2 linked regions of the Coturnix japonica genome follow. The protein of the gene in region 1 purifies or fractionates together with the protein of each later gene. This does not show direct contact. Links are inferred from orthologs where the notes say so. Each region holds a gene or a part of one and is shown in the gene's direction. Other genes may lie near its edges.

The links.
Region 2: the proteins of DUSP10 (region 1) and MAPK9 purify together in Homo sapiens (affinity purification with mass spectrometry; 3 studies listed by BioGRID and IntAct, with this or other methods). This does not show direct contact. The link is inferred for Coturnix japonica from reciprocal best matches to the Homo sapiens genes DUSP10 and MAPK9.

The regions. Positions count from the first base shown.
Region 1 is NC_029518.1:15,955,689-15,965,467, forward strand, and holds the end of DUSP10 (dual specificity protein phosphatase 10), read left to right. Parts: intron 1-3,281; coding exon 3,282-3,656; intron 3,657-6,327; coding exon 6,328-6,593; 3' UTR 6,594-8,705; downstream 8,706-9,779. UniProt on the Homo sapiens protein: Protein phosphatase involved in the inactivation of MAP kinases. Has a specificity for the MAPK11/MAPK12/MAPK13/MAPK14 subfamily. It preferably dephosphorylates p38.
Region 2 is NC_029528.1:4,154,715-4,165,223, reverse strand, and holds the start of MAPK9 (mitogen-activated protein kinase 9), read left to right. Parts: upstream 1-4,471; 5' UTR 4,472-4,585; intron 4,586-4,820; exon of another isoform or gene 4,821-5,245; intron 5,246-8,182; 5' UTR 8,183-8,235; coding exon 8,236-8,357; intron 8,358-8,897; exon of another isoform or gene 8,898-9,026; intron 9,027-10,509. Other genes in the region: GFPT2 (glutamine--fructose-6-phosphate aminotransferase [isomerizing] 2), read left to right, coding at 1-136, 265-379, 980-1,107, 1,743-1,910, 2,313-2,474, 3,099-3,143. UniProt on the Homo sapiens protein: Serine/threonine-protein kinase involved in various processes such as cell proliferation, differentiation, migration, transformation and programmed cell death.

The DNA.
Region 1 (9,779 bases):
GTGTAGGCCCTGTCGCTGTCACACAGAGCAGAGCTCAGCGCTGCCCTCCGCTCCCTGTGAGGAGCTTCAGCCGCCATCAGGCCTCCATCAGCTCCTTTGCTCTGCGCTGAGCAAACCCAGCAGCCTCAGCTCTCCTCACACACCTTGTCCTCCAGGCCCTTCTCCATCTTTCTAGGCCTCCCTTGGACAACTCTCCAACATATCTTTTTCTGATAATTCACAGCCCTATGGGATTTCTGCTTTTGTTGCATGTGAATTTTGGTTTAGTGGTTTTGTTATGGTTGGGTTTTTTTTTTTGTTTTGTTTTGTTTTCTTTAGGTGGCTTTGTGGTATTGTAATTGAGGATGAGTGGATCCAAAAATCCATCTGAATAGCTTTCAAAGCTATATAAAAGGTCCGTTTGTCTGTGGGGATCACGTGTTCTGTCTAAATGTGGATCCTGCATCTTTAATCTGTCATGTAAAACAGAATGCGTGCAGATAAGATGTGTCGGTTTTGCTTTCTGTAAAGATGGCTGTTCCTATGCAAAACCAATCACCTTGTTTCTACTGTACGTTTTGTGTATGCTTTGAATTATGCTCACCTTTTCACGATGGCAAATGACAGCTGCTGTTTGGCATAACTTCTGTGTCATTTGCCCCTTCTGGATTTGCTCTGAGCTCTGGTTCCTGCCCAGCTGCTCACCTGGCCTCCAGAGCTGAGAATCCGCCTGCAGCTGCTGCGCGGCAGGGGTTCGGGAGGCATCATGCGAAATGTTTGCTCAGGCCTTTTGCAACCACCTGCCCACAGACAAGTATGAATAGCTGGAATGTATACAGTGCTGATTTGAAGCTTCCTCAAAGTTTTGATGTCTCAGACAATCCCTAGCCTGTGGTCATTTACTAACTGTTCTGGCAGGACAGAGCGGTGGAATATTTCACGCAGCTCATGCAGTGATAACTGTGAACATCTCTGGCCCTTCACATCAGTGGTGAGCAGAAGCACTGCCCGCTGGTGCGTTCCACTAGATATTAGGACAGGCTGTCTGCTACAGAGGTCCTGCTTCCTTCATTCCTTTCCTTATAGAAAAAGCTCTGAATATCCAAGTGTGCTGGGCATCCTTGCATGGCTGTTGCTTTGTTTGGGTGTGGGTAGGTTCAGGCTCCCTGACAACCCGCTCAGCAGCTGTTTTGGAGCAGCGTGTGGGATGTTCTCTGTATCTGTGTGAGGGCTGTCAAGCTGGCTGCCTGGTTCAGGTTTTTTACCATGTTCTGGTTATTAAAGCTATGTGATATCTTCAAAGATGGAGAAGACTGGTTACATGCACAGCATTCTGTAATGGTGAATAGTGGTAGTTGGCCTGTCTTCTAGCACTTTGCTTAGTCAGCGTGTTGCGCCTGAGAATTTGAATGTCCTAGTGAAGGTGGGCACACAGCTGCATGTGAGCCCTATGGCTGGAGCTCAGCACTACCGTGCATGCTGCTGGTCCTTCCCAGTGGATGTATTGCCTGTCTGCTGTGGCTGCAGTGGTGAAGGCTTTCTGTATTGCAGTTAGCAGCTGAAGATCTGCTTTTAAAACTCAGTTTACTTGTGTACTGGTGAGAGGCCATATGTTTCTTTGGACTGCTTTTTGGGGATCCCTATGTGTTCTGGGTGTTGTCTGAACAATTATTTAAGCTGAATGGATTGCTTGCCTATAAAGAAGCAGAGTAAGTGTCAGAGTAGGGTTGGGTTGACTGGAATGCGGTTAGGGTTCAGCCTTTAGCCTAAGCTGTTGGTTTGGGTGAGATGTCAGATGGCATCATCATGGTGACCCTGGTCTTCTCTGTTGTTCTTGAGCAGCCTGTGAAGACTTTGCAGCCTCCATAGAGGCCAGGTGGTTTAGTTAGCTGGAGAGCTCAGAGTTCTGTCCTTGTCTTTTCTTCTGCCCTGTTCCCTGTTACAACAGCTTTGTGAACAGAGATCTTTAAGGCAGATCTGTTTGTGCTTTATCCTGCAAACTGCAGAAACAGCTGAAGATCAGCAGGACGCAGGACTGCCTGTATATTGCAAGCCTTCAGAGGAAGGTTTGGGATTTAAAATTCACTCCATCGTACATGTGAGGTCTAACTGTGCTTGTTTCCCTCTTGTTGGCCAATTGCTGGCATATAGATAGTGTGCATGGGTTGTAGCTGGGCATCTCCCTTCTCAAAGCTGGCTGTGGCCTGGTGAGGGGCACTAATGCTGTCAGGCTCCAAGATGGGCCCTAGGTGAGTGCTGGCACCGAGCGGTTGGAGCTGTGGTGCTCAAGAGTTGGATGTCTTTCTGTCTGAACCAAAGCCTGTGTGACAGCGTGGCTTTAAAGTCTTCCTTTCGCTAGATCATTGTGAAAAAGCACAGAAAAGGCAAATAACCTTTTAGAAGGAGGGGGGAAAAAATAGCAGTATGGTGACAGCAGCATTTGTTTTGGCTGGAGTAACTCTTTCTAGTAATTTACATGTAGTTTTCCCCTTCCTGGAATTTCTTGGCTTTCATTTAGCAAAGTGCAGTTGAGCCCAAACACTTGGCTGGTCTCGGCACAACGCGTGGCCCCACGTACCCTGCTCCAACAGAAACCCACATGTCTGTGGGCAGCAGGGGGGCATGGCTGCCCTTCTCCTCCTGCCCCTCTCTTCCCAGGCGTGGAGGCGAGCCACCTGTTAACATTACATCATTGGCTCCCAAGAACGCCTTCGTACCAAAGGCCTGAAACAAAGTGGTTCTTCTTGTATTGTTTGCGCTCAAAGAGCTGATGTCATGCCAGCTGATGTCATTGTGTGCTTTGTGTAATCGCTATGGAAACTGGGCAGGTGGGGAGCCCGGGGCTGATGTAATTGCCGAATGAGGTGTAGAAAGAAGCTCTGCTTTTCTTCCTAGCTCTGCAGCCACTCTCCTAGAGGGGGGGAGGTGGGAGGGGAGAAAAAAAAGGGGAAATTGCTGCTTGAAAAAGCCAGCAGTGTGACTTGCAGTAGATCCAAGGGGAGCACAAGCCAAGAAGTGACTTCTCCCTTCCCCCTCGGACCCATTTCCCACCCATATGAATGTCCTAAAAATAACCCTCTAGATATTTTCAGGCAGCTAGGGCAGAAAAAGGAGAGCTGTTTGCCCCATGTTAGGCAAGCACCTTGGTGGTTGGTACGTTTCAAGGTGCAGCATTGCTTTGTCCAACTGCACGGGAATGTGCTGTTGTCAGGAGTAAAGGCTGCAGCTGTCCCTTGTCCCAAGCACTGCAGGTGCCCTGTGGAGATCTCTAACCACAATATCTGCTTGGTCTCTCTCCCCAGGGGGACTCAGCGGTTTCAAGCAGAACCATGAAAACCTCTGCGATAACTCCCTCCAGCTGCAAGAGTGCCCGGAGGGGGGAGGTGGCGGTGCGTCCGCAGTGCCCCCCACACTACCTCAGTCCATCCCCACCACGCCGGACATCGAGAATGCCGAACTCACCCCCATCCTGCCTTTCCTCTTCCTCGGAAATGAGCATGATGCTCAGGACTTGGAGAAAATGCAGAGGATGAACATAGGCTATGTAATCAACGTGACCACCCACCTGCCCCTGTACCATTACGAAAAAGGCATGTTCAACTACAAGCGGCTCCCAGCCACTGACAGCAACAAGCAGAATCTCAGGCAGTATTTTGAAGAGGCTTTTGAGTTCATTGGTAATTATGCTTGACTGGAACTACTTTCTCCCCCCCCTCCCCTCACCTATTACAAGAATCTGGAATGAATTTTGTGCTTTGCTAACTACCCCAAAGGCTGTGTAAGGTCACATTTACTTTTGTTTAGATTGTCAGAAATACTGAGCACCTCGTGTTTCTGCTGATTCTCATTTCTGGCACATCTGACTAAGTAGCCCAGAGGTACAATTTTATCCATTGATAGCAGTGCCTACCTCTAACCCTCCAAATTTGGGTCTTTTCCACCCCTGCTTCTCCCAGCTGAGATTTTTGTCATTCCCTCTTTATGATTCCTTTGCATTTCCTAGTCTTCGCAGTGGCTTCTAGCCAAGTTTTTGTAGTTACTATTTTTAATGACAGCTGAGTCTTCCCTAACTCAGTTTTATGAGAGAACTGACAAACTTTCACACTCCACTTATTTTATCATTAGATTTGTAACTTCAGTGTATGTGTGGGCGAGTGGATCGCAGTGAAAACTATTATTAATAAGCTTCCAATTCCTGTAGGCTGTGAGACAGTTCACTGTGAAAATACAGCTCTATCTGAAACAGGGGAGGTAGCTCAGGAAATGATATTACCTGTGTCAGTCTAAACCTCGCTGTGATTCACACAGCATATACCTCATCCATTTTGATCATCGAGGCTCTGCATTCAGCTCTGGTCGTCTGTACTCAGCCCAGACAACCTTCTTAAGTGGAGCTGGTCATTGAGGATGTTAAGTAATACTGGAAGCTTGTGAGGACCTTTCCTTGCTCTTCTCAATGTATCTGTGGGCAGCTTCCTGCAGTGCACACGCACAGCTCAGCCTTTTGCAGCACTGTGGATGTCTGCTGGTGTTTATCCAGTAGCAGTTTGTGTGTTCAGATGTTTCCTGAAACATCCTGGTGTTGGGAAGGAACCATGGCCATGAATTATTATTTTTTTCCCTCTTGCTGAAGCTGGGCTAATCTTATTATCAATAGTTCAGGTTTGATAGTGGAAGCCAAGATGACAACAGCGTACCTATTTACCACATCACAGCTTAGGTCCTTAGCTAACCCCATGGACTTATTGAAGGGGACTCGGAGCTGTCTTCCTTGATTCCTGCTCTCAAAAATAGACTGTGTTTATGGCTCCTGGATGAGAGCATGGGTGCACAGCTCCTCTGGAACTTCAGCCTGCTTGTGCTGGCTCTGTGGGGTGCTCTTGGGCTCACTGAGGATCCAGCCCTGCTTGTGAAGCTGGGGCCTAAGGTCGGAAACCCAGGCTCAGCATATTCTGATCCCATCTGCCTTGGAGCTGGGTCTCACTGCTTGGAAGCAGGCAGCTCTTGGGTGCTGCTAGTGCTGTCTGTGTTCTGGTTAGCAGAGGATCATTGTGCTGACACATACAATCTGTAGTCACATTATTTCAGTGAAGGTGAGTAAGCAGAACACTGCTTATACCATAGTTTTGATGGCAGGCAGCATTAGAACTCAAATAGAACTCAATGTTAGAGCTCAACAACTCTTAAGTTAACTCTTAAGTTATAGACTGTATGTTTTGGGTTTTTTTTTAATTGGTTTGATGACCTTACTAAGGGCAGAGAAAGCAGCCTTGTTCTGAAAGCGTTTAGAAAGTATTTTGAAACCCATTTTGCTTTCCCCTTCGATAATTATAGCTTGAGGGGCTAGCTTTGTTTTTAATAAACAAATATTTCTCCACTGAGGTTTTTCTCCTTAGCAAATTCAGCCAGTCAAAGTTTTCCCTCCCTCAGGGTAAGCTTTTTTAATTTCATTTGAGACAATAGGGAAATATTTAAACAGTAGGTCATTGGCAGGTATCTATTTAAATAAATTAGAAAATGGACGAAAGTTTAGTTAAGATTAAGGGCATAGGAAGTGAAGCTCAAAAAGTGTGTTACGCTATGTTTGGAGTTTTGAGTTTCTTTAAATACTGGCTGATAGAAATATAGAATTCAGCTTCATTTAAGTTTTCATAGTGCAGGTGGGACTTGTGGAATAAGGTGCACTTTATTTTTGGTGGGTTTGGGTTCACACCAAAAGCAGTAAGCTAAATGCATGTTCTCCAGATTAATGGAAGAAAGCAATATACTGAAGGGTGATATCTCGAAAGCTTTATCTTTCATTTTCACATAAGCTGTGGGAAACAAAGATGGAATGGCAGTGACTTCCTCCTCTTTCCTGGCTTCTGTACTTCCAGGAGCTTTTTTTCTCTCTTGCATCTCTTTGTGCAGATGATGTGTTTTGGTGGAGAGCACTTGTACATCTGACTGCACATGTGTGTTGTCCTTTTCCTCCTTCCCCTCCTTGTTCTTTCCTTGCTGCTCCTAGGGAGATGTTGGGGAGAGGTAGCATTTGGCAGAATGAGGTGCTCCAAATGTTAAGGGGCAAAGATGACAGGAGCCTTTTCAGACAACAAAAGCTGATTAAAGTTGGGCTGTGAGGCAAAGATCTAGTTGAACCAGAGCTTGCTGTGCAGACTGGCCTAATGTTTCACATGAAGTAGCTTTGACTCCCTACAGGAGGGTAGACTAGGGAGGAAGAGGGAGGAAATGCTGCTGTGCTTCAAGCCAAATAGAGGAACTTTTAACATAAAGTTACTTCTGATTGCACTGAGCTTTGCTAATTTACTAAATAGCAGAGATCTTACTTTCTTCTGTTCTTGTTTTCAGAGGAAGCCCATCAGTGTGGAAAAGGTCTTCTCATTCACTGCCAGGCCGGAGTGTCCCGATCCGCCACCATAGTTATTGCATACTTGATGAAGCACACGCGCATGACCATGACGGATGCCTATAAATTTGTAAAAGGCAAACGACCAATCATTTCCCCTAACCTTAACTTTATGGGGCAGTTACTGGAGTTTGAGGAAGACCTAAACAATGGCGTCACACCCCGAATCCTCACACCAAAGCTGATCGGCGTAGAAACTGTTGTGTGATGGTGAAGCTGCAAAGAAGGGGTTCAATGAAGGGGGTTAGCCCGTTTTTCACCTGATTTAGGGCAGTCAGGGGTGGGCTGTGGGGTTTTTTTGTTTGTTTGTTTTTTTAGCTTTTGGGCGGGGAGGGGGTTGCAGCAAACGTTTTTGTGAACAAAAACCTTTTTTTGTAAGGAAAGGTTTTTAAAAGAGATCCAAGAACTTGGCCATGTTTGGGATGCGGTTGTGATTTCCTTCCTGGGCACTGATAGAGCAGAGAAGCTTTGGAGCGAGAGGAGTAATTTTTAAAATCCAAAAGCCAAGAAGAAATATTGGGCTTTTTTTTTTGTTGTTGTTTGTTTGTTTGTTGGCTGTTGTTTTTTTCCTCCTCTTCCTCTCCGGCTCCTCATAGAGTTTATGGCTAAGTAGTCTGTGCAGGTTCATAGACTGAAGAAACCTAAGCTGAAGACAAAACACAAACAGCCAAAACAAAGCAGAAAAAAAACTTGCTGAAGCATGAGGGCCTTCGTTCTGCAAAGGCATTGCTACAGATCACCTGGCAAATCACTCACTGACACAAAGGAGATCAGAGCAGCTTAAAAAGTCTGCAGGCACTTTTCACACTCCTGACTCAAACTAAAAAATGAAAAGAAAATGAGTTTATTCGGCGTGTTTCATGTTCCAGTTCTATTTTTCTATCTTGGGGTGTAAGGTTTTAACAGAAAGGGACTTGGATCATTCTATGCCATATGCCTTCACTGGCTTCTTGTGCAATAATAATTTGGGATTTATTTTAAGTGTTCAATCCAATTAGAGTTGGCTGCCCACTAATAATAAGATAATTTTTAAAGTCTAATAGTGCAATGGCAGCTGGCTTGGTTCAGAAGGGATAGGTGAAAGTAATTATTTTGTTCCTTTATATGATTTTGATCCTAGTTACAGTGCCATAAACCTTGTTACATATGTATATCAGAATGTACAAAAATCGAGAACGAGCAAAGTTTATTTAAAAATATTTTTCGCACAAAATCTTGGTGTGTTTCAGTTGTCTATGTAAAAGAAATTTGATTATAAAAGCAAAAAATCCTTTGGGAAATGTGTGTCCTTTTATTTCTTTAGCAGTTTTCCATTTGCTTTCTGTCGGATGGGCTTTTGGTTGTGCTTGATTCTTTTTTGGGGGGGGGAGGGATTTGTTTTTGTTTGCTTTTTCTTTTGCAGTGCACAATGCCCATTGACAAAGCTGGTATCTTTTGTTTGACATCTCTTCTTCAGTGTCCTTTTCCTGTCCTCTGCTGGTGGAACGTGTTTTCTGTATTCCTTTCTGTACTCTCACATCCCTTGCTTTCTGTAGCCATGTTTTTAATCTCCTGGAAATACACCATACTTGGAGCTGTTCAGATGAATTTGCATGACTGAGGTGGGCTTTTTGGGACAGACCTACAGCTCAACAGTTAGTTAAAGAAAATAACAAGAAATGAACGTTTTCCAATGATTCCTTTCCATCTTCCTGCAATTAGCTTTCCTTATGTGTTTCAGAACTAATTTCTATTGAGAGATGAGTATCCTTCTGGTTTTATTTTTGTCCCTGGCCTCTCCAAAGCCTGCTCTGTTAGCAGTTCCTGCTCCTTTAGCAGTTCCATGATCCCTGGTCCTTCTGGATCTTTTCCTTCCCTTTGCCCACTTTTCTTTCATCCTTTCCCAGTTGTGTTACTGTTAAGTGTGGTGTGTATTGCGAGGCTTCTACCCAGCAATGTACCTTAGGTGGCTGACTTCTTTTGCTTTCTTTGTTTGTATTTTTTTTTTTTAATTAAATTAATGGTATGGTATAAACTGATCTCTTCCAGACTGTTACCAACTTAAAATATGATTGAGTCTAAAATGAGCTTAAAAAAACCCATTTCTCGTATGATTCTCTTGTACAAGCTGATATATCCCAGGAAGCCTCATAGCCGTGAAGGTTTTTCCTAGGTGAAAACCAATGTGGACTGAACCAAGATTAAAACAGGACCTGTCAGAAAACTTATGTATAATCACATTAGACATGTATATTTTTGTGGACATTTTACTTCAAATGTTGTTACTATACCAATATTTTCTTGAAACGTATCCCTTTATTAAATTATTTTTCTACTGGAACTGATTTTTTTTCTTTCCTATGGTTGGTCCCTTCAGTGAGATGCCCTTGGTGGGGAGCATTACCCAGGCAACAAACCCTCCTGGGCTCCAGCTGCTGTGGGAAAGGACATCCCTCGCTAAAGATGGGCTCCTTTATTTGCCGTTGGGCTCAGCCTTTTTCAGCAGTTCTGCATGAACTGCCGATGGCTGCACATAGGTGAAGTTGTTAGCGGGCAGAGAGGAGGTTAGAAAGAGCAGTGGGGCTGGCTGAGATTGTAGCAGCCTATGTTACTGATGGTAGAATCTGCACAATAATGCTGGAGTTCTACAGAGCAAATGGAGTATGTAACCTAGGACATGGGAGTCCTAAGCCTAAGGGGAACAAAAGAGGACTAAATTCAAGACAAGTTTCCCCCTTTGTTACTGTTTGCTGGTGCCTTGATCCTACCCCTCCATTTCCTTTGGGGAGAAGGCAAATCTGACGTCCCTGTCCCACCTGCTTGGCAGATACAGCCTATGAGAGCTTCAGGATGGAGGCAATGTCTTGTATGGTCATAAGGTCTGCCAGTCAGCGGTTGTACAAAGGTTCAAAAGCACTCCCAGGAATTAACGGGGCTGAGGCAGGAGCTGTGAGGGGTATAGGAGGACACCCAGCAGGCTGAGAGCATGTGTTCCTCAAGGCCTGACTGGTCCCATCAGGCTTCTCATGAGGAAAGGGAGATTCAGTGGGGAGGACAGAAATAATCTCTTGGCAGAGTTAAGGCAGCAACCAAAGATAATGAGTGGCTGATGGCCGGCTCGTTAGCAGGTGTTTATTTTCCTGTGGCCTGTTTGCCCTCCTGTAGGTACACGGGTGTTGACCAATGTCAGGTTTACAATAGTGGGAGCAGAGCCTGACATCGGGAGCTGATGGGAGTGCTGTGGATTGCACTGAGCACACCTGAGCATTCTGCTGGCGGTGGAAGGAGGTGGCACAAGCTATGCTGTGGTCTCAGGAACCACAGACCACTGGTGCTGCCAGCCCCCCAGGTCCTCCTGCTGGTGAGGACAATGTTGATCAGCCTGCTCAGCTGAGCACTACACCTGCTGAGGAGC
Region 2 (10,509 bases), on another chromosome or scaffold:
GGCTTTGAGGTATTGCAAAGAACGCCGTGCTCTAACAGTTGGCATCACAAACACAGTTGGAAGCTCAATATCCAGAGAGACTGACTGTGGTGTGCATATCAATGCAGGACCTGAGATAGGTGTGGCAAGCACAAAGGTAACAGCTGTTTGGTGTTTGATTTTCATACTTTACCACTATGTAATCCAATTATAGTTTTAATTGTAGCACTTCAGATTGAGATCGTACTAATTCACTTCATGCTAAATGCTCTGTTTTTTCTGCAGGCTTATACCAGCCAGTTTGTGTCTCTTGTGATGTTTGGCCTCATGATGTCTGAAGACAGAATTTCTTTGCAGAAAAGAAGAAGGGAAATCATTAGTGGACTAAAATCATTGCCAGGTATATTGATACTTACTTTGGTATCTTGTTTGATGGATAATATAGAAATATAAAATATTACTCAAGAAAAAACTTATAAATATTTGTTTCACTCTTTCTTTCTCCTTGAAAAGTAGGTAATGTAAGAAGAATAGGCTATTAGCTTCTACACTACTTGCCAGTTTTACAAATAGACATCCAAAAAACTTGGCAGGAAGATGAGAATTCCAGTAGGAGAGCTTTGTTTGAGAATTATTCCTTGATCTCCTACACACGTAATCTAAAATTTATAATGCCTTTCACTTTAAACCGGTATAGATGAAACAAAACTAATCCAAACTGACTTTAAAACAGATGTTTGGAACTTCCTTTAGTATTTCAAATGGGATGCATAGTCTCTGCTTAAACTAATAGTCATCTTAAACTTGTTACTTTATGTAAGGCTGGATGAAGCATGTTTAAAGCACTGTCAAAATTGTACAGATAGAAAGTTAATGCCTGAATTATGCTAATGGCTTGTTATAAAAAGCCATTAGAGTATCATACTACAAAAAGCTAGGAAATACTATTTTTTTCCAGTTGATGGAGATTTCTATATGTGCTTTTTATGTGCTCCAATAGAGATGATTAAAGAAGTCTTGTCCTTGGATGAGAAGATACATGACTTGGCTCTTGAACTATACAAACAAAGGTCACTGCTGGTTATGGGTCGTGGATATAATTATGCCACTTGTCTGGAAGGAGCTCTGGTAGGAATCTCTCAAAGTTTGGATACTAATTGAAATGAGCTTTTGTTTCTGCAGCAATTTTTCTCATATTTATTTACATTTTAATTCTACTGTTCTAAAACTGCTGCCATGTATAACTAGAATGTTTAATCCTATTGCACTGAACACATACATAAGGTGAATTTGGTGTCATTCTTAAATACACTTAAGGAGTGTATTTAGAAAATTAAAAAACCCTACAACTTAATATGACTTAAAATGTTGGCCTGTTTGAAAATGTCCTCCTAAAACACTGCATTCAGTATGCTGGCGTTCAGGCAAGATGTTCATGCAGGAAACTGCTAAATTAATTACAAATATCCTCATGTAATGGAGCTGTATCCATCTCTCATAGAAGTTAAAAATGTGGTGCTAGATGTTAAGCTCTTAAAAACTCCTCTTGATTAGTCCATTTAATTCTCTGCAAATGTGTGTGCATGAGCAAGAGTAAGCTCCATTTCTACCGGCAGCCTGCTGGAGATCTCAGTGTACAGGAGTGTCTGTTCTAGCCTTGAAAATAGCAACTGCATTTGATTGATGGATGTTTTGCTGCTTGCAGCTTGTATTTCTAGTCTAATTTACTTCTAACTTTCTGATATTTGCATTTGTTTCATTAGAAAATAAAAGAAATCACCTATATGCACTCTGAAGGTATCTTAGCTGGTGAGCTTAAACATGGTCCACTAGCCCTAATAGATAAACAAATGCCGGTTATCATGGTCATAATGAAGGATCCTTGCTTCACCAAGTGCCAGAATGCTCTGCAACAGGTCACAGCTCGACAGGTAAGCTGTAAAGTAATGCAGTGTTGTAGGGAAGGAAATTGTGCACACTAGATTTTTGCTGAATACGTTTCAGAGGCAGGATGGTAATGGCATTTCTTTCTACTTAAAAAGTTATGATTAAGGTGCTATTTTAGCATCATAGCTCACAGTTTAACACCAGTAGAGATAAGTGGTCATATGTAGATGTTTTGTGGTCTGGAATCAAAGAGAATAATGTTAAAGCTGTACTGATTGTTGCTTGAGACTTGAATGTTTTCTGTGAATGGCAAAAACCATTATGCAGGTCTAACATTATCCTGGTTAGCTATCTTTGTTATTTTTCAAATACACTACAGATAGACTGTGAACTAATATATAAGAGCAGCTCTAAGCCAGCTCTTAACTATAGAACTTTATTTTCAGGGTCGTCCAATCATCCTGTGTTCTAAGGAAGACACGGAAAGCTCAAAATTTGCCTACAAAACCATTGAGCTGCCTCATACGGTTGATTGCCTTCAAGGAATCTTGAGTGTTATTCCTCTCCAGTTGCTTTCATTCCACCTGGCTGTTCTCAGAGGATATGATGTAAGTGCTTTCTATGTATAGCATTCCAGTTAGAGCAGTTTTGCACTTCCTCCTACCAATGTTAAGGCAGATATAAGGTTATACGGCATTTCTAACAAAGAACTAGAATAATTGCTGCGACTGGTACTTAGTGTAGTAGTAGAGGTGGCATTTCACTGCCAATTCTTCAGCCTTTTCTTGAATTGGTGTGGAAGGTGGTTCTAAAAAATGTAAAGATTGTTTGCTTAGTTTGATTTGTGAAGAATGCAGATAATATTATTCCGGAAGCTAAGCATTGAAGTGTGACATTGCACTCTAACAGAGGACAGTTTATTACTTTTTATGGCTTAGTTTGTTGACTCTGTCTAGGTGTGTCAGTTTGGTAATGATGACCCCATTGGAAAGGCATCCTATGCAAAACAATATATTCAGATTTGTTGGGAGGTTTTTGCAAGTAAGGATGCATTCAACAGTGAGTTATGTACAGATCCGTACTCTTTTGTGTGCATTAGCGAGTCCAGAATAAAGCAGAACTCAGTAGCAATCCTTTTCTAAATAAGCAAAAAACACCAAACCAAAACAGCACAAAAGCAAGAATGCCAGTTGTGTTCTGTCACGCACTGAAAGCCTGTCTTTTCATTCTAGGTGGATTTTCCAAGGAATCTGGCCAAATCGGTTACTGTAGAATAACAGCCAAGAACAGTGGATATTTTTGTTACCAGACTCTGTTATGCTTGTGGAAATGTGTTGTTCTGAATCAATAGGTACACGTTTTTCAAAGGGAATGAGAGTGATAACTGGCAGGTGTCAGAAGGATTTACCTTGCAGCTTTAAAAGCTTCCAATGTGCCTTGTTACCCAAGTGCTTTTGCTCACAGCAAATGTTTCTAAGTCCCAAAATTGCCAAAGGATAAGATAAAAATCATTGTTTACACATGATATACTGAATGAACTTTTCTACTGTGCAATATATATATATATACAGCTCTCTTCAGAGTAACTGTGAACGTTTTTTTTTTAGCCTACACTACTTAACTAGTTTTAAAGATAAAGTATTTATAAGTACAACTGTATAGCTTTTCTTAAGTTATTTTTTTAGTATGTTGCTTATCGATAGCATTGGTAATAATGAGCTGACATGCTCAGCGCTCATGGCAAGTTTGTGTACAGTTTTATAGGGGTTTTTCTACTACATCCTCAAACTGGAAATAGGTTCTTCTCTTCCTCCCATCTTCCTACCCCCCTCTCCTATGGTTTACACCTGGTTTGTATTTCACCACCTTTTGCAAAGAGTTCCTGTGGCTGTCAATTCTCAGCTGTGTTTTAGCTCCTCCTCCTGCTTTCAGCTGTAACACCATGAGAAGGCCCAGCAGCGTTTTGTATCTCATTGCCTGCTTTGTACAGGGCAATTAAATAAGGGAACTGCCAAAATAAGGGTACCTTCCAAAAGGTGCTTATGATTGAAGTGTGTACAATGTAATTAATATGCAATTAAAGAAAATATTATACAGATTCTTCTTGTCTTGGGGCTTTTCTTTTCCTTCCCCTTAGTCATTTGTATGCACCAATGCTCTGACACCAGAAGGAGGAGGGCTGTTGTGTTATGTCAAGAACTGAACATCACCATATAAGAAAACACACGTGTGGCACGTATGTTTGGTAAAGAGCACTATGGGTGTATTTGAATAAATGCTCCTGTTTTGCTGTGCTGGAGAGACAGTCCCACCTACAGTCCCACTTTGGTGCCACCGCTGCCCTGTGGTGACGTCAGAAGCGCGGTGACAAGCTGACGTGTGGTGATGACATCACGCCGGAGGGCCGAGACCGCGCCTGGATTGGTTGAGCCTGCCCGCTCCCACTGCGGTCCTTCCCCGCTGCCCTGCCTTATATAGCGCCAGCTCTGTCCCGCCTCCAGCCTGCCATTGGCTGAGCATCGCGGTATGGGCTCGCGATTGGTCAGAGTTGCTGTCCGTCAGCGCGCTGAGGCCTGGCGCGGCCTGCGCGGAGCACCGGGAGGCCATTGTGGCTGTGGCGGCCCTGCGCGCCGGAGGAGCTGCAGGCGGCGGCGGAGGTGGCTGCGCGGCTCGCGAGCGCCGCGCCCCGTCCCGCTGGAGCCTGACCGGGAGAGAGACGGTGAGGGAGGCCGCGAGGAGGGCGGTGCGGGCGGCGGGGCCGGAGCCGGAGCTCCCCGATCTGAGCCGAGCCCCCCGGCCCTGTGCCGAGAGGACTCCCTGGCTCTTCCCGCGGGCCCCGCCCGCCGAGGCGCAGCCGGGGTTGGGCCGGGCTTCCCCGCGTGTCGCTGACCCGGGCCCGGCCCTGCGGAGCGGGGAAGGAGGCGGAGGGGCCGAGCTGGGGGCCCCTTCCTTCTTGTCGGCCGTGCAGTGCCCCTCGCCCTTCCCGTGCCGCATCGCTGCCCCTGCCCTCAGCGCCCCGTGCCGGCCCTGGCAGCGCTCGGTGCTGGCGGGGCGGGGGCCGCGCTGTGCTGCTCCGCGACGGAAACCGCACGAGTGAAGGAATCCCGTGAGCTCGCTGGGCTCTACGGCTGCTCCGTGATTTCACAGCGCAATAATTGCACGGCACACACACGTTTGAACTTTTCCCCTCCGTCTCCCGGCCGAGGTGCAGCCAGTATTTGCTTTCGGCGTTTGTTTAGCAGCTAAATGACAGCGGGGCTGGTGGCTGTCGGTGTGATCTGCTCACTAATAGCTTCGGCCGGTTAAAGACAGAGGTGCTTCTCAGAGAACTGAGCGGATAAAGCCAGTATTGGTTAATTTGCAGAGTACGTTTGTAAAGGTGAATATTCAGTGTGGTTTCCCTATCTTTTCATACTCCGTGTGTGTGTGTGTGCTCCGTGGGTTCTTTCTGTCTCCAGTGCAGTTTAGCCTGAAGTTCAGTTTCTTGATGTTCATCGTGATAACATTTCTGTATCCAAAACAGCGCAGGGAATGTTCCTAGCTGTTCCAACCTGTTTGCTTCAGAAGCTTTTGACGTGGAAAATATCCAGGGAATGGATCTGGTTAATAATAAGTTGCCATTTTAATAGGTGCCTTTTGCAGAGGTGACTGGTGCAGTGTGTACATACACTGTAGTGCGGTTGCTTCCAACCCCTAAATACTTCCTTGCTGCAGTTCTGTATGACAGCTGATACATTCATTGGGGGTAGGTTTGGTGTGTCTGTTTTCCTCTTTTTGATTGTTTTACTCTGCATGAACTGAGGCTGAACACCACTTTTGTAAGCGCTTGTGATCTCTATGCATAGAGTAAAATCAGCTTTGTGCTTTTTAGTTTTTCTGGTTGTATGAGCCCATTATTAAAACAGACACAGAAACCTGCACCCAATTTATCTGCCTCTCATGCGTGCTCAAAAATAGGAAAATTATCTTGAAGCACCGTAATTGAGTGCCCTTATCAATATGCAGAAGTATGTTTGCTGACTGTCCCATGAATGAATGACTCCCATGTCTGGCACTGCTCCTGTCTGCTGCAGCTCGGAAGCCATGAATGAAAATGTGCATTTCCTACATGGAAGTAATGCCAACTTCTCAAAGGATTCCTGCATGGGAGATGTGTGGGATGCATTATGTACCTGCTAAGGGGAGCAATGAATCAGATGGTCTCGGGTAGCAGTGTAACAGTTGGGGTTTAATAAACTTACTTGTCAGATGTACTTTTCCCTGTTGATGGGCAACCTTATTCAGTGGGTTTAGCCCCCAAATAGACACTGAGACTTAAATTATGTCAATACTTACAGTCTCGTGGCATTTAGTTTTGCATTAGTTTGTATATCTGAAGTAACCTGAGTCCTAACCAAGCAGCGTGCAGCCCATAGCATAGGGCTCAGAGAGGGGCTTGGTGCTCAGCACAGTGAGCTCCAGAGGATGTCAGAATACATAGAGCTTGTGTGTTGTGATTCACAAATCCCTCTTTGGGTCTTATCTAAAGAGCTTATCCTGGTCTTTAAACTGTTTTTCCAAGTGATGACTTTGTACAGATGAGATTTCTTACAGTGAGGTTTCTTTGGATCAGGATCACTTCCTTTTCCCTCTGCTTCTTTCTTTCAATGATCTTCATTAACCCATAAAGGAGTACCAGCATAGATCCCACATAACTAACAGGCCTAATTTGATTTCCAGAGTAATCCACATCTGCACTGTTTTCCCCCTCTTTAAGCCCTTTTCAGAGAGAGAATCTTGGCCTTTTCCTTAGTCTTGTCTTTCCAGCTGTGTCTGTGTTCCAGCATTTGGAGATATACAGAAAATACCAGGGCTGATCGGGGGTTGTTAATCAAAAACTGTGGTGCATCAGTGTCTATAGCTCTGGAATGATAAAAGACAGGAAGAGTGGGTTCATTCCTTACTGTCTAATAGCAGCTAGAGATGACCAGATTGAGTATTTACTTGAGAGAGGCCCATATTCTAATTCCTGAAGCTGCTAGAAGCTGCTCATGTAGCCCTGTGCCCTTCCAGGATGTGCTTCTGAGTTGCTGTCGAGGCTCTTCTGCTTTGCATGGGCTCTCCACTGTTCTGTAGACTGGTGAAGAGGGAGAGAATAACTGCTCTCTCTTTAGCTACAAGTGATGTAGCACAGCTGGGTGGTTAGGCCAGCTGCTTATAGGGGAGGTGATCTGCTTTCATTTCCTGTTTCGGGGAACTCTTGGCTTTGTAGTTTAGTCTGGGCTGTAATGGCATTACCTATTATGTTGCATGTGAAATTATGTGTGTCCACTACCTCAGTCTCAGGTGTAATTACCTACATCTAATTAATTACAGACAGATTTTAGTGTAGCACCAACATCTAGAGAGGGAGAGCCCATAACTTCCTTAGGGAATCTTGTCGAGCACCACACCTCTTCTACCTTTGCAAAGCAGGCTTTGTTTCTCCTTCTTCCCTTTCCTTCATATCTTCTAAAATGTCTAACCAGAATCTTTGTGCTCATCACCACATCCATTGTGTTCATACATTATTTCATTCCTCCTTTCTTTGGTCTTTTGTGCACTTCCTCCTCTAGTCTGTTTCTCATAAGTAACCCAGTTAACGAGATGTCCTTTCCCCTTGCTCCTTGCTGCCCTCTGGACTCTCAGAAAGTCCAGTTGCAGCTTTGAGAGCAAGGCAGATGAGAGGCAAACTGCAGTGTAACTTCCTGAATGGAATTGCTTTTTGCCTGCTGTTTGTTTTTGCCTTCATTAAAGGGGATTGTTAACATTCAAACAAAGCAGTCCTCAATCATCGTAATGCATTTGGGATAAAACTAACTGTTACAGTGTGGCTGGGTCTTTCAAGCTGTAGTACCAACTCCCTTAATTCTTGTAGGACTTGAAGTACACTAACTGATGGCATGGATGTCAATGTGTATTAAAGACGGGAGGAAGGAGTGCGGTGGTGATAGCAGTAACTCAGGGTTACGGAAGTTGGCTGAGTGCTGGAGTCTCCTACGAGGAGGAGAGAGTTGTTGCCTGAGGGTGTTGTTTGCTTTCACAATTGTTTACTTAGCTGCTTTTTGTGTTGGGGCTTGGAATGAGATGTTTGCTTACAGCTGGGAAAGGTGTGGTTATTTGTTGTCTCATCTGCAGGGGTTTTTCATTAGCAGTAGTTGTAAGTGAAGCTGAAATAATGCTTATCTAATAGTATGCTATTAAAAAATTCATATGTGTTAAAATATGCATAATCTATCTTCCATCTTGTCTGCCTGGAATTACTCAAATTGTACATTTGTTTTCTTTTTTCTTTAAGATCTTGAAGCCTGTACCAGGTCCTTGAGAGAGAAAACTACATGACACTACACCATGAGTGACAGTAAATGCGATAGTCAGTTTTACAGTGTTCAAGTTGCAGATTCAACATTCACTGTACTAAAACGTTACCAGCAATTGAAGCCCATAGGATCGGGGGCACAGGGCATTGTTTGGTGAGTAATAAACATTTTATTTAAACATAAAAAGCTCTAAATGCGTAACAAAATATGAATGTGTTCCTGATAGGGGTGCCAGGGTGTCCAGTATTATCAAAATCGATGAGCTTTGTTTCTTGCTACAGGGTTGTGAGGGACTAAATAGTTTCTAAAATACCTGCCTGCAGTAGTTCGTGTGGGGAACTAGCTTTTGTTTTGATTTTAGGGGAAAAGTAATGTTTGGATAACATCATAAATGAAGAGGGTCAACACATTTCCTTCTCATTAACCACTTTATTTTTGTTTTAGTTCTCACCTTCCCCATGTAGTTATGCTATTACAGTGTAAGGTATGACAATGAGATGGTGAGAGATTCTGAGTTTTACTCGTTTCTTCATCATAGCCCCCTTTCTTCCCCCCCTTTTATTCCCAATCACTCCTGTCCATTTCTAGGAGCCACCAATGCAGTGCCTTGCCATTAAATGGCAGGATGAGGCAGATCAGTGTCATTGTCACTCCATGGATTAACCAGGAAGTGATGCTGTGAGGGGTTGGGCTGGCCATCTCTTCCTTGCTGTGTCACCTCAGCTATGTGTCCAGCCTCATCTGGCCCAGGACGTGAGAGTCATTAGTCTGATCCTGAACCTTAGTCTCTTGTATGGCATCACACCTCTGGGCCAGCTAAAGGTAAACAATTTCAAATGTTTTTTAGACTGCAGCGGTCTATTCTGCATCACTTACTGCCAGCCCTTGTTTTGTCGGGCAAAACTTATTGGGTAACAGCAGCACTTCTTATCGATGTTATTTTACAATTCCATACATGAGGGAGCAAACAGATATACTTATTAAGTCTGTAATATCAGACTTAATCAGAAACGCGTGGTGTGTTGCTCGTGCTTTAAGCCCAGTCTGCTGTTTCTGTCTGCCTATAAATTCTGCAGGATAAGAGGGATGACTCATATTGCAAGCAGCCCTTTATGCAGCACCTGCCCATGACTTTCTGGCTTTTTTAAAACCTTAAAAAATGTTTTATACTTAGGAAAGGAGTGCTAACATGAAAAAATAAGTGAGATAAGAGCACCATATTTCATTCTTATTCAGTGCGTTGAGTGAGGAATGGGTAGGCGTGCTAGATCTTAGTACTGGTGTTTGGGTAAGCATTAGTGTGGTGCAAACATCTCTGAGTATAAATATTCTTGATGATATGCTTGTTCTAGATTGTATGTAAGGATTAAGAGTGGTTGTAGTTGCTTCTTTCATTGGAAGCAGTGCATTTCTGAATGACATGGCTTAAACGAGGCGTTGCTTCAAAACAGTTGGGGTAGTGCTAAGGTCAGTGTCTTGGGTGGAGAAAGGGATGATCTGATTTATTGACTTGTTTTGAGAAAACTTGATTTTTGGAACAACAGAATAAAACATTGCATAAATTCTTCATGTGAAACATCTGAACATTATGTCCAAGTTGAAGAAGGTGCAAAATCTAAATTTCTCTGTAAAAGTCCCTAAAATACCCAGGGGAAGTATGCAAAATGTAAGGGTACACAGTGCAGAAATCTCACCATAGGATGAGTGCCATCCTGTCATTTTTGGCTAGGAAAATCTTACTGTTATTTGTGTGTTGCGTAAATGAAATACAAAATGAGAACTCTAGAAAATGAAAAAGGAACTTGCTTGTTTTATGTAGAGTTTATTTGTGTATTTCATATACAAAGTGTGCTTCTATACGTGACTACTCACACTTCTTATGTTCTAGCATGCTCAAAACCTTAGAATCTATTTATCAATGAGTAACTGCTTGTACAAAATGATTTTGTTGAAAGAATTTTTGTTTGAGGCTTGATATTGATTTTTCCTTTCTTGCCCTGGATTTCAGATGGTTAAATAGTCAACCTGATTTTTCTGTCCCAACGAAGTTATTCTGTCCTTCAAGATAGCAAAACTGTGATCTTAGAAACTCATGTGAGTTTGTGCTGTCTATAACAGTTGCACTTGAAGAAAACAGTCAGGAGTTTGTTGCTGTTTGGAAACCTGTGTTTGGGCAGTGGGGAAAGAGTGAGTGAAGCAGAGCTGGTGAAGCAGGAATCCACAGCAGGAGCATGTTGCAGTTCAAGGCAAAAGTCCTTTGCCTGCAGAACTGGAGCACAATTTCTCGCTGTAATTTAGGTCAAGA